Linked DNA regions of Caenorhabditis elegans. The protein of the gene in region 1 purifies or fractionates together with the protein of each later gene. This does not show direct contact. Each region holds a gene or a part of one and is shown in the gene's direction. Other genes may lie near its edges. The genes, in order: sbds-1 and natb-1.

Evidence for each region.
Region 2: the proteins of sbds-1 (region 1) and natb-1 fractionate together in Caenorhabditis elegans (co-fractionation; one large-scale study listed by BioGRID). This does not show direct contact.

The regions. Positions count from the first base shown.
Region 1 is NC_003281.10:635,778-640,257, reverse strand, and holds sbds-1 (Ribosome maturation protein SBDS), read left to right. Parts: upstream 1-1,838; 5' UTR 1,839-1,848; coding exon 1,849-1,982; intron 1,983-2,189; coding exon 2,190-2,319; intron 2,320-2,487; coding exon 2,488-2,559; intron 2,560-3,119; coding exon 3,120-3,545; 3' UTR 3,546-3,772; downstream 3,773-4,480. Other genes in the region: tag-266 (Golgin subfamily A member 7/ERF4 domain-containing protein), read left to right, coding at 48-205, 270-480, 931-1,101; eakr-4 (EAK-4 Related), read left to right, coding at 4,091-4,216. UniProt on the Caenorhabditis elegans protein: Required for the assembly of mature ribosomes and ribosome biogenesis.
Region 2 is NC_003283.11:7,982,080-7,985,233, reverse strand, and holds natb-1 (N-alpha-acetyltransferase 20), read left to right. Parts: upstream 1-1,802; 5' UTR 1,803-1,816; coding exon 1,817-1,894; intron 1,895-1,943; coding exon 1,944-2,034; intron 2,035-2,085; coding exon 2,086-2,215; intron 2,216-2,262; coding exon 2,263-2,485; 3' UTR 2,486-2,577; downstream 2,578-3,154. Other genes in the region: abhd-12 (Serine aminopeptidase S33 domain-containing protein), read right to left, coding at 338-580, 627-828, 885-1,006, 1,075-1,091; F26D11.1 (Gluconokinase), read right to left, coding at 2,597-2,789, 2,943-3,154.

The DNA.
Region 1 (4,480 bases):
CAAACCCCTAAAATATCCTACATTTTTCCAGAGAAAATTCATAAAAAATGTCACATGGCTCACCAGCCCCATCGGCGTCGGTTTCCAGTGACGGCGAAGAGCCAGAAATAGACGTGATGCCGAGTAGTGACGAGGAATCCGAGCCAATATACATTCCAAAGGAGAAGGAACCCGTCGTGATTCGTGGAGTTGGAAATATCACAGTGTAGGTGGTTTTTAAGAGAAAAAAAGCTATATTTATCAAAAAAAATCATCGAATTTTCCTTCAGATTTGGCATGAATTCCCGTTTCAACACGGAATATCCGCCCGAACTAACCGGATATATTGCTCCAGAAGAACTCTCGGCGACACTGTCTCGCGTAAATTCTGTGCTCAAACGCCACGTACAAACGTCATCGCGCTGGCTTTTATGTGGATTAGCGTTTTGCTGTTGCTCAATTGGATGCTCAATGTGGCCGGTGTTATGTCTGAATCGGAGGGTAAGAATTCGAAAAATTAGGCGAGATAATTCGGCTCCGTGTTGATTTACGAGGATTTTTTCGCCGATTTTCCAATAAAATTCATCTGAAAAGTGGTTTGAGACACTTTGAATGGGTCTGCTTAATATTTAGCAGACCCATAGTTGGTCTGCTAAATATTTAGCAGACCCACAGTTGGTCTGCTAAATATTTAGCAGGCAATGGCAGTTATGAACTGTTTAGTTTGAAATGTTTGAAACACTTTGATTTAAGGTAAGAAAACCAACTGAAAACCACTAAAAATGTGGAAAGAAACCGCCAGAAACTCGAAAAATCTAGAAAAATTGTGCCGTGAAAAGCCTGTAATTTTTTTTTTTAACCAAAAGAACTGAAAAAATCTAGATAAAATCCCCGTAAATCGACACAGCCCAGTTTTCAGTTAAATTTTCTCTTAAATTCCCCAATTTTCAGACCGTCTTAGCGCTGGAAAAATGTCTGGACCACGAGAATGTTAGCCTTTATCACAAATTGGGCCTCCACTGGTCCCTGGCTCGGCGCCCAACGGAGCCCTCAGACCGCCTGACCGAATATGTGCTCGAATTGAAAACTTTGCCTAAACCCGCCTTAAATCTTCCCGATTAGTCCCCATCCGGAAATTGCGAAATTTTGCACATTTTTCGAAAAATTTCGCATTTTCGCCCACTGTTTCCAAACAAATTTGTACTTTTTTTGTTCTTCCATTTGACCTGATTTTTCCGTATTTCTGTCTATTTTTGTATATATTTCCCGATTGTCATCACCACCACCACTTCCCCCAATGCTTTATTCAGGGTTTTTAGTTTTTTTTTTTTTCAAATCGAATCTAGTCTACCAGGCTTAAATGACTGAAAATTGGCTTGAAAATTATTCGGAAAATATCAAATATACTGAAATTCTTTAAAATTTTGAAAAATATATCTACTTTTCCGAAAAAAAACATGAAAATTCTCATTTCTGAAACTAATGTGAGCTTTTTCGAATTTTTTTGAATCTCAGAAAATTTGAATTTTATCGAAAATTTTCCAATTATTCTTATATACCGAATTTTCAGTCATTTAGACCCAATTTTAACTAAATTCGAATCCGATTTTTCGTTTTTTCGACGCTACGACCCCGAAAAACACCCATTCTTCTCACCTCAACGACTGGTTTTATCTCTTTTTTATTTGATTTATCGACTTTAAAGTTTAAAAAAATTCAGATTCTCCGTTAAAATGAAAATTTAGATTAAAATTTTTTTTCGACATTTGAAAAAAAAGTAGTTTCAAATCTATTTTTATATCTCAAAATGGTCTCTTTTGTTTTAAAATTAAAAATGCCAAAATCTCTTAAAATTTCAGCCGAAAAAAAATGTCAAAAAATATCAAAACGCCGACAAATCAGAAAGTTCTGACCAATGTGGCAGTGGTTCGAATGAAGAAAACCGGAAAACGATTTGAAATCGCTTGTTACAAGAATAAAGTTGTTAATTGGAGAAATAAGAGGTAAAATATATATTAATTTTTAAAAAAATCATATAGAAATCTGAAAATTTTAATTCTCAAACCATTTTCTCAGTGATAAATAAAAAAACAGTTGTTTCTAAATTAACCTTTTGAATAATTTTGTTCAAATATTATTTTTTGGAATTAATATTTACCATATCAAAAATCAATTTAAACAATTTCCCAAAAATCTAAAAAAATTTTCAGCGAAAAAGACATTGACGAGGTGCTCCAAACCCATACAGTCTTCTCAAATGTCTCAAAAGGACAACTTTCCAAGAAAGAGGAGCTTATCGCCGCTTTTGGAATCGAGGATCAGTTGGAAATTTGTAAAATTGTAAGGAAAACTTGGATTTTCTGGAAAAAAAGAAATTTTAAAGTTTTTTTTTCAGATTAAAAAACATTTTGGCCTAAAATTTGGTGTAATTAGTGTTATTTGTCATCTAAAAAGTTGAATAAATTTATTCAAAATAGGTAGAAAAAGACAATATTTCCTAAATTTCAGATTCTCGACAAAGGAGACTTGCAAGTGTCGGAAAAAGAGCGTCAGGCGGCTTCAGATCAATCGCTGAAAGAGGTACAACTTGCCACGTAGCAAAAAATGAAAAAATTTTAGATTCCAGGCTAAAAACCTGTTTTTTTCTTTAAATTTTTAAAAAATTAGGTAGTTTTTTTCTCCTGAAAAATGTAAATTTTCCTCCAAAAAAAATCCTGAAAAATCTCAATTTTTCTTCAAAAAAAATCCTGAAAAATCTCAATTTTCGTCAAAAAAATTCCTGAAAAATGTAATTTTTCATCCAAAAAATTCCTGAAAAATCTCAATTTTCCTTCAAAAAAAATTCCTGATAAATCTTAATTTTCCTCCAAAAAAAAAATCCTTTAAAAATCTCAATTTTTATATAAAAAAATTCTTGAAAAATGTGAATTTTCATCCAAAAAAATTCCTGAAAAATCTCAATTTTCCTCTAAAAAATTCCTAAAAAATTCCTAAAAAATTTCAATTTTCCTCCAAAAAAATTCCTGAAAAATCCCAATTTTTTCTAAAAATTCCTAAAAAATCTTAATTTTCTCCCAAACAAGTTCCTGAAAATTTTTAATTTTTCTTCAAAAAAATCCTGAAAAATCTCAATTTTCCAGGTATCCCAGCTGATTGCCTCAATGGTCGTAAATCCTGAAACGAAGCGTCCAGTTCCACCGTCAGTAATCGATAAAGCTCTACAAGAAATGCACTTTTCCCTGAAACCGAATCGTTCCTCAAAGCAGCAGGCTCTCGACGCAATTCCAAAACTTCGTGAAACTCTGAAAATCGAACGAGCCAAGATGAAGATCCGTGTGGCGATTCCGACAAAAGAAGCGAAATCCGTGCACACGAAGCTTAAAACCCTATTCAGTGACGTGGAAGTTGACGATTGGCAGGATGGAAGCCTCGAGATGGTTGGGCTCATTGAGCCCGGATCGTTCAGAGCTTTGGACGATTTGGTCCGAAATGAGACGAAGGGACACGGAAGATTGGAGATTCTCAGCTTGAAGGATGTCGTCGAAGGAGAATTGCAGATTTCTTAAATTTCATGTTAAAAATTTTATTTTTTTGTTGCTTTTTTGCTCTTTTGCACTCAAAATGTGCAGACATTTTTGAGTGTTTTTCTTTTTTTCCCCTCCACACACCCGAGAATTCTTTTTGGATCTCAAATTGTTATCATCAACGTTCCCATGTTTTTTCCCAGTTACCAAAAACTTTTTGTGTCAGGTTTTCAGAAATCATTATTGCTTTTAAATGAAAAGTGTTAATCTTACAAATTTTTGAGAAAAACAATTTGGAAAAAAACCCCAGGAACATGATTTGAAGGCTAGAAAACTAATTCTCTAAGTTTCCCCGGCTCGAAAAAAATTCGTTCAATATTTATTTTCCATCACTTTGCATAATTTACAGTACTCACCAGGCCAGCGAAATTCATGAAATTGTACAATTTTCTTGTTGTTTTTCCAACAAAATTTAAAAATAACCCGGACTAGTCGAAAACAAGGCAGTCGTGGGGTACTGTAAATTAGGCGGCCTACCAAGTTGAGCCTTCGCCAAGTAATCCTCTATTTCCCTGTCACAACCGATAATGGGGCAATGTCTTGGAACCCTGTGCACTGTAGATTCAGCTACAGATAATATTTCCAGCGTCTATCAGCTGGCAGGCCCAGTTGCGGTGAAAGAGAGCCCACGTATTGCTGAACGGGACCCAAAGGTAATATTTTTCGTTTTTTTTTCAGAGTCTTATGTTTTCAATCTTTTTTGCTGAGAAACCTTCGAAAAAAAAAACAAATCTAAGCTTAAGTCTAAACCTAAGCCTATGCCTGGAGACACAAGCCTAAGCCTACGCATAAGCCTAGGCCTAAACCTAAGCCTACACCTAAGCTTAAGCCTAAAGGTTAGCCTAAGACTAAGCTCACACCTAAGCCTAAGACTCAGCCAAAGCCTAAGACTCAGCCTAGGCCTCAGCCAAAGCCTA
Region 2 (3,154 bases), on another chromosome or scaffold:
GGAAATGTTTAAATTTTTTTTAACAAAAAGAAAAATGGCCAAAACTTGAAGCAATTTTTCGGAAAAAACGAAACATTTCCGAATTTTGAATATGGAAGTTTCGAATTTTGATTTACACCTGCAACATATGAAGCTGTTTTTAATTTCTTGAAACCCGATTTTTCAAGAAAAAATGTTATTAATTTTGGTGAACTAGAGCTATGCTCAAAAAAGCCATCTTAAATTTGTATTTTTTGATATCAAAATCAGTCAGCATTTTTTTTTTGCATTATCCTCAGTACTTTAAAAATTGAGTTTAAAAATTTCTGATTGCAGTGAAATAATAAATTTAACTCACCCAGTTCCCATCGAATGACCCCATACAATAACAGGCGTCTTCCCGCAATTCTCCTTCAGCCATTCGTATACTGTTTTTGTATCTTCAACAATTCCTTTTTCGGTTGGTGTTCCTTCTGAATCTCCATATCCTCGATAATCGAAACAGACGACATGATAATTACAATCACTGAGCAAATTGTACATTTCCACACGATGGTAGAATGTGCGATCGAACGAGTTTCCATGAGCGTAGAAGATAATTCTGAAATTTATTGATTTTTTTTGAATTCATTCTTTGAAAATCCTACTGATTCTCTGAATCCCTCATCATATCGTCAAAATCTCTCTCTGTCGGATGTTTTCCTTCTGTTCTCCATTCTAAACTCAATTTGTTGGGCAGAATGTGCCAAACACCAATCCTTCCACTTTTTCCAGGCAAATGAAGAGATCTTCCGATTGATTTAACGTTGTTCGACGCCAAATCATTGTAATCGGTGTTCGGCAGACGTCCTTAACAAGGTAACATAGATCAAAGATAAAAGATAAGATAAAAAAGAAAAACTAACGGAAATTGAGAAAGAAGATGAACTGTGTGTAGCGTGGAAGAAAATATACCAGTATTGGAAGGAAGATGACAATTGAGAGGACTAGAATTGTGATACAGAGTAGTAGCGGTTGAATAAGTACACTGAAATTAAATTTTCGTTTAATAAATCAAGTTTTAAAATGTGGAAAAATGCCTAAATTTAAACTTACATAAAATAGCCTAGCATGATGTTGATATTTTGTTAGTTAACCGCTTCCATTCGAGTAGTCAAGTCACCTGAATGCATACAAAATGAGGTATATTAGATAGTGTACTTGAAAGTGAAAATGGAAGCAAAAAAACTGGAATTTCTTTAAAAGAAAGAGAAAAGTGGAAGAGAGAAGCAGAGGTATACACAATATACTCACCCTGCTAGTCACTTATTGATTTTTTCTCCTGTTAGTGTTTTGTTTGTACTTGATGACGGTCAGGAGGAGCGCCTGACCGCCTGACCGATTTATTTTTTGAAACACAAAAAACGAAAGAGGATAATTTTTCAACGGACTACGGTGGACAAGTCCGCAAACACCGCGCACTAAACTTGCGTACTTTAGGAATTTGCAAATTAATTTGGAATTTTACTCTTTTTTATTAATTTTTAACTTAATTAGCCTGATAATAGCTTGTTTTATGCTTAAAAATAAATCAACGAGCTGCAAAAATAATTTAAATTCTGACAACACAGCGCTATGCCCTTTACGAAATTTATTTGAACCGTTTTTAATAGTGCCACCTCGTTTTAGCACTTTTTCAACTCTTTTCCGCGTTCGCCAAATTTATTTTCCCATTTTGTTTGCAAATAACGAATTTAAAATTTGTTAACTCTCTCAAGTAATGCAATTTCTTTGTGATTAATATAACACTTAAATTTACCCTTCAATATTGCAATATATTGCAGAACTGCGAGTAAAAATGACAACTCTCCGGCCATTCGACGTTATGGATATGTTCAAGTTCAATAACGTGAACTTGGATATCAACACTGAAACGGTAAATTGCTCAGTAAATAAAAAAAATTTAAATATATTTATTTTTGCAGTATGGCTTCCAATTTTACCTGCACTATATGATGAACTATCCGGAGTATTACCAAGTTGCTGAACATCCAAACGGGGAAATTATGGCCTATGGTTTGTTTGAAAATAAATGAAACATAAATGTGAAATAGTTTAATTTTTCAGTCATGGGAAAAATCGAAGGACGCGACACCAATTGGCACGGACATGTAACTGCTCTCTCTGTGGCTCCAAATTTTCGTCGATTGGGACTAGCCGCCTACATGATGGAGTTCTTGGAACGTACTTCTGAAGCGTAAGTGATGGCAAATTAATATTTTATTAAAATCTAAGAATTTTCAGTCGTAGAGCATATTTCGTCGATCTGTTTGTTCGTGTTTCGAACAAGATCGCCATCGAATTGTATAAGAAGCTTGGATATGTCGTCTACCGGCAAATTATTGGATACTACACTGGAGATAGGGACGAAGATGCTTTTGATATGCGGAAGTCGCTTTCTCGCGATCCTGAAAAGAAAGCGATGGTTCCTTTGAATTATCTCGTGCACAGTAGAGACGTGGATTAATTTTAGATTGTTTTGTTTAGTATTTATTTATTGTTTAATGTTTATTGTGTTGGTTGTCTTGTCAGTTATGACAAATTATTAAATTTATTTATATTATTTAGATTTCTAGAATCATTCACAAATCAATGCCAGAGTCTTTACAATTGTATCAACAATTTGATCCACATTTTCACTATTCGCATCAACAGTGACGATATTTGATTCATCGGGACTCGGAAGTTCAAGTGTAGCCAGCTGACTATCAAGTAAAGTAGATGGCATGAAGTGTCCGGGACGGGAATTCACGCGTTGCTGAAGAACTTCCCTGCAAAAAATGAAACGATGAATGCGTGAAAATGTGTGAAAGTGGGAAAACGAGCGGACGGAAGCGAGTGCGAATTTGAGTTGTTTGTTGTCCATTTTCACTTTTCTGCCCATTTCTTTCACCACATTTTTTTGCGCGCTGAACATTACTTGCCTTTTTAAATTCAACAGAATGAAAACAGCTCTTCCGCTGGCTCCATTGGGAAGATGTTCACAAAGAATGGATCTATAACGTCTTTTAAGCGCAGAACAAGCGATAACGTATCCTTGATTGAGTCTTGCGTAGTTGTTAATAGCTTGAAGCCATGGAAGTCTATCAGAATCATTCAGTGGTGTGCCGGCTTTCATTTTCTCTACATTTTCAGG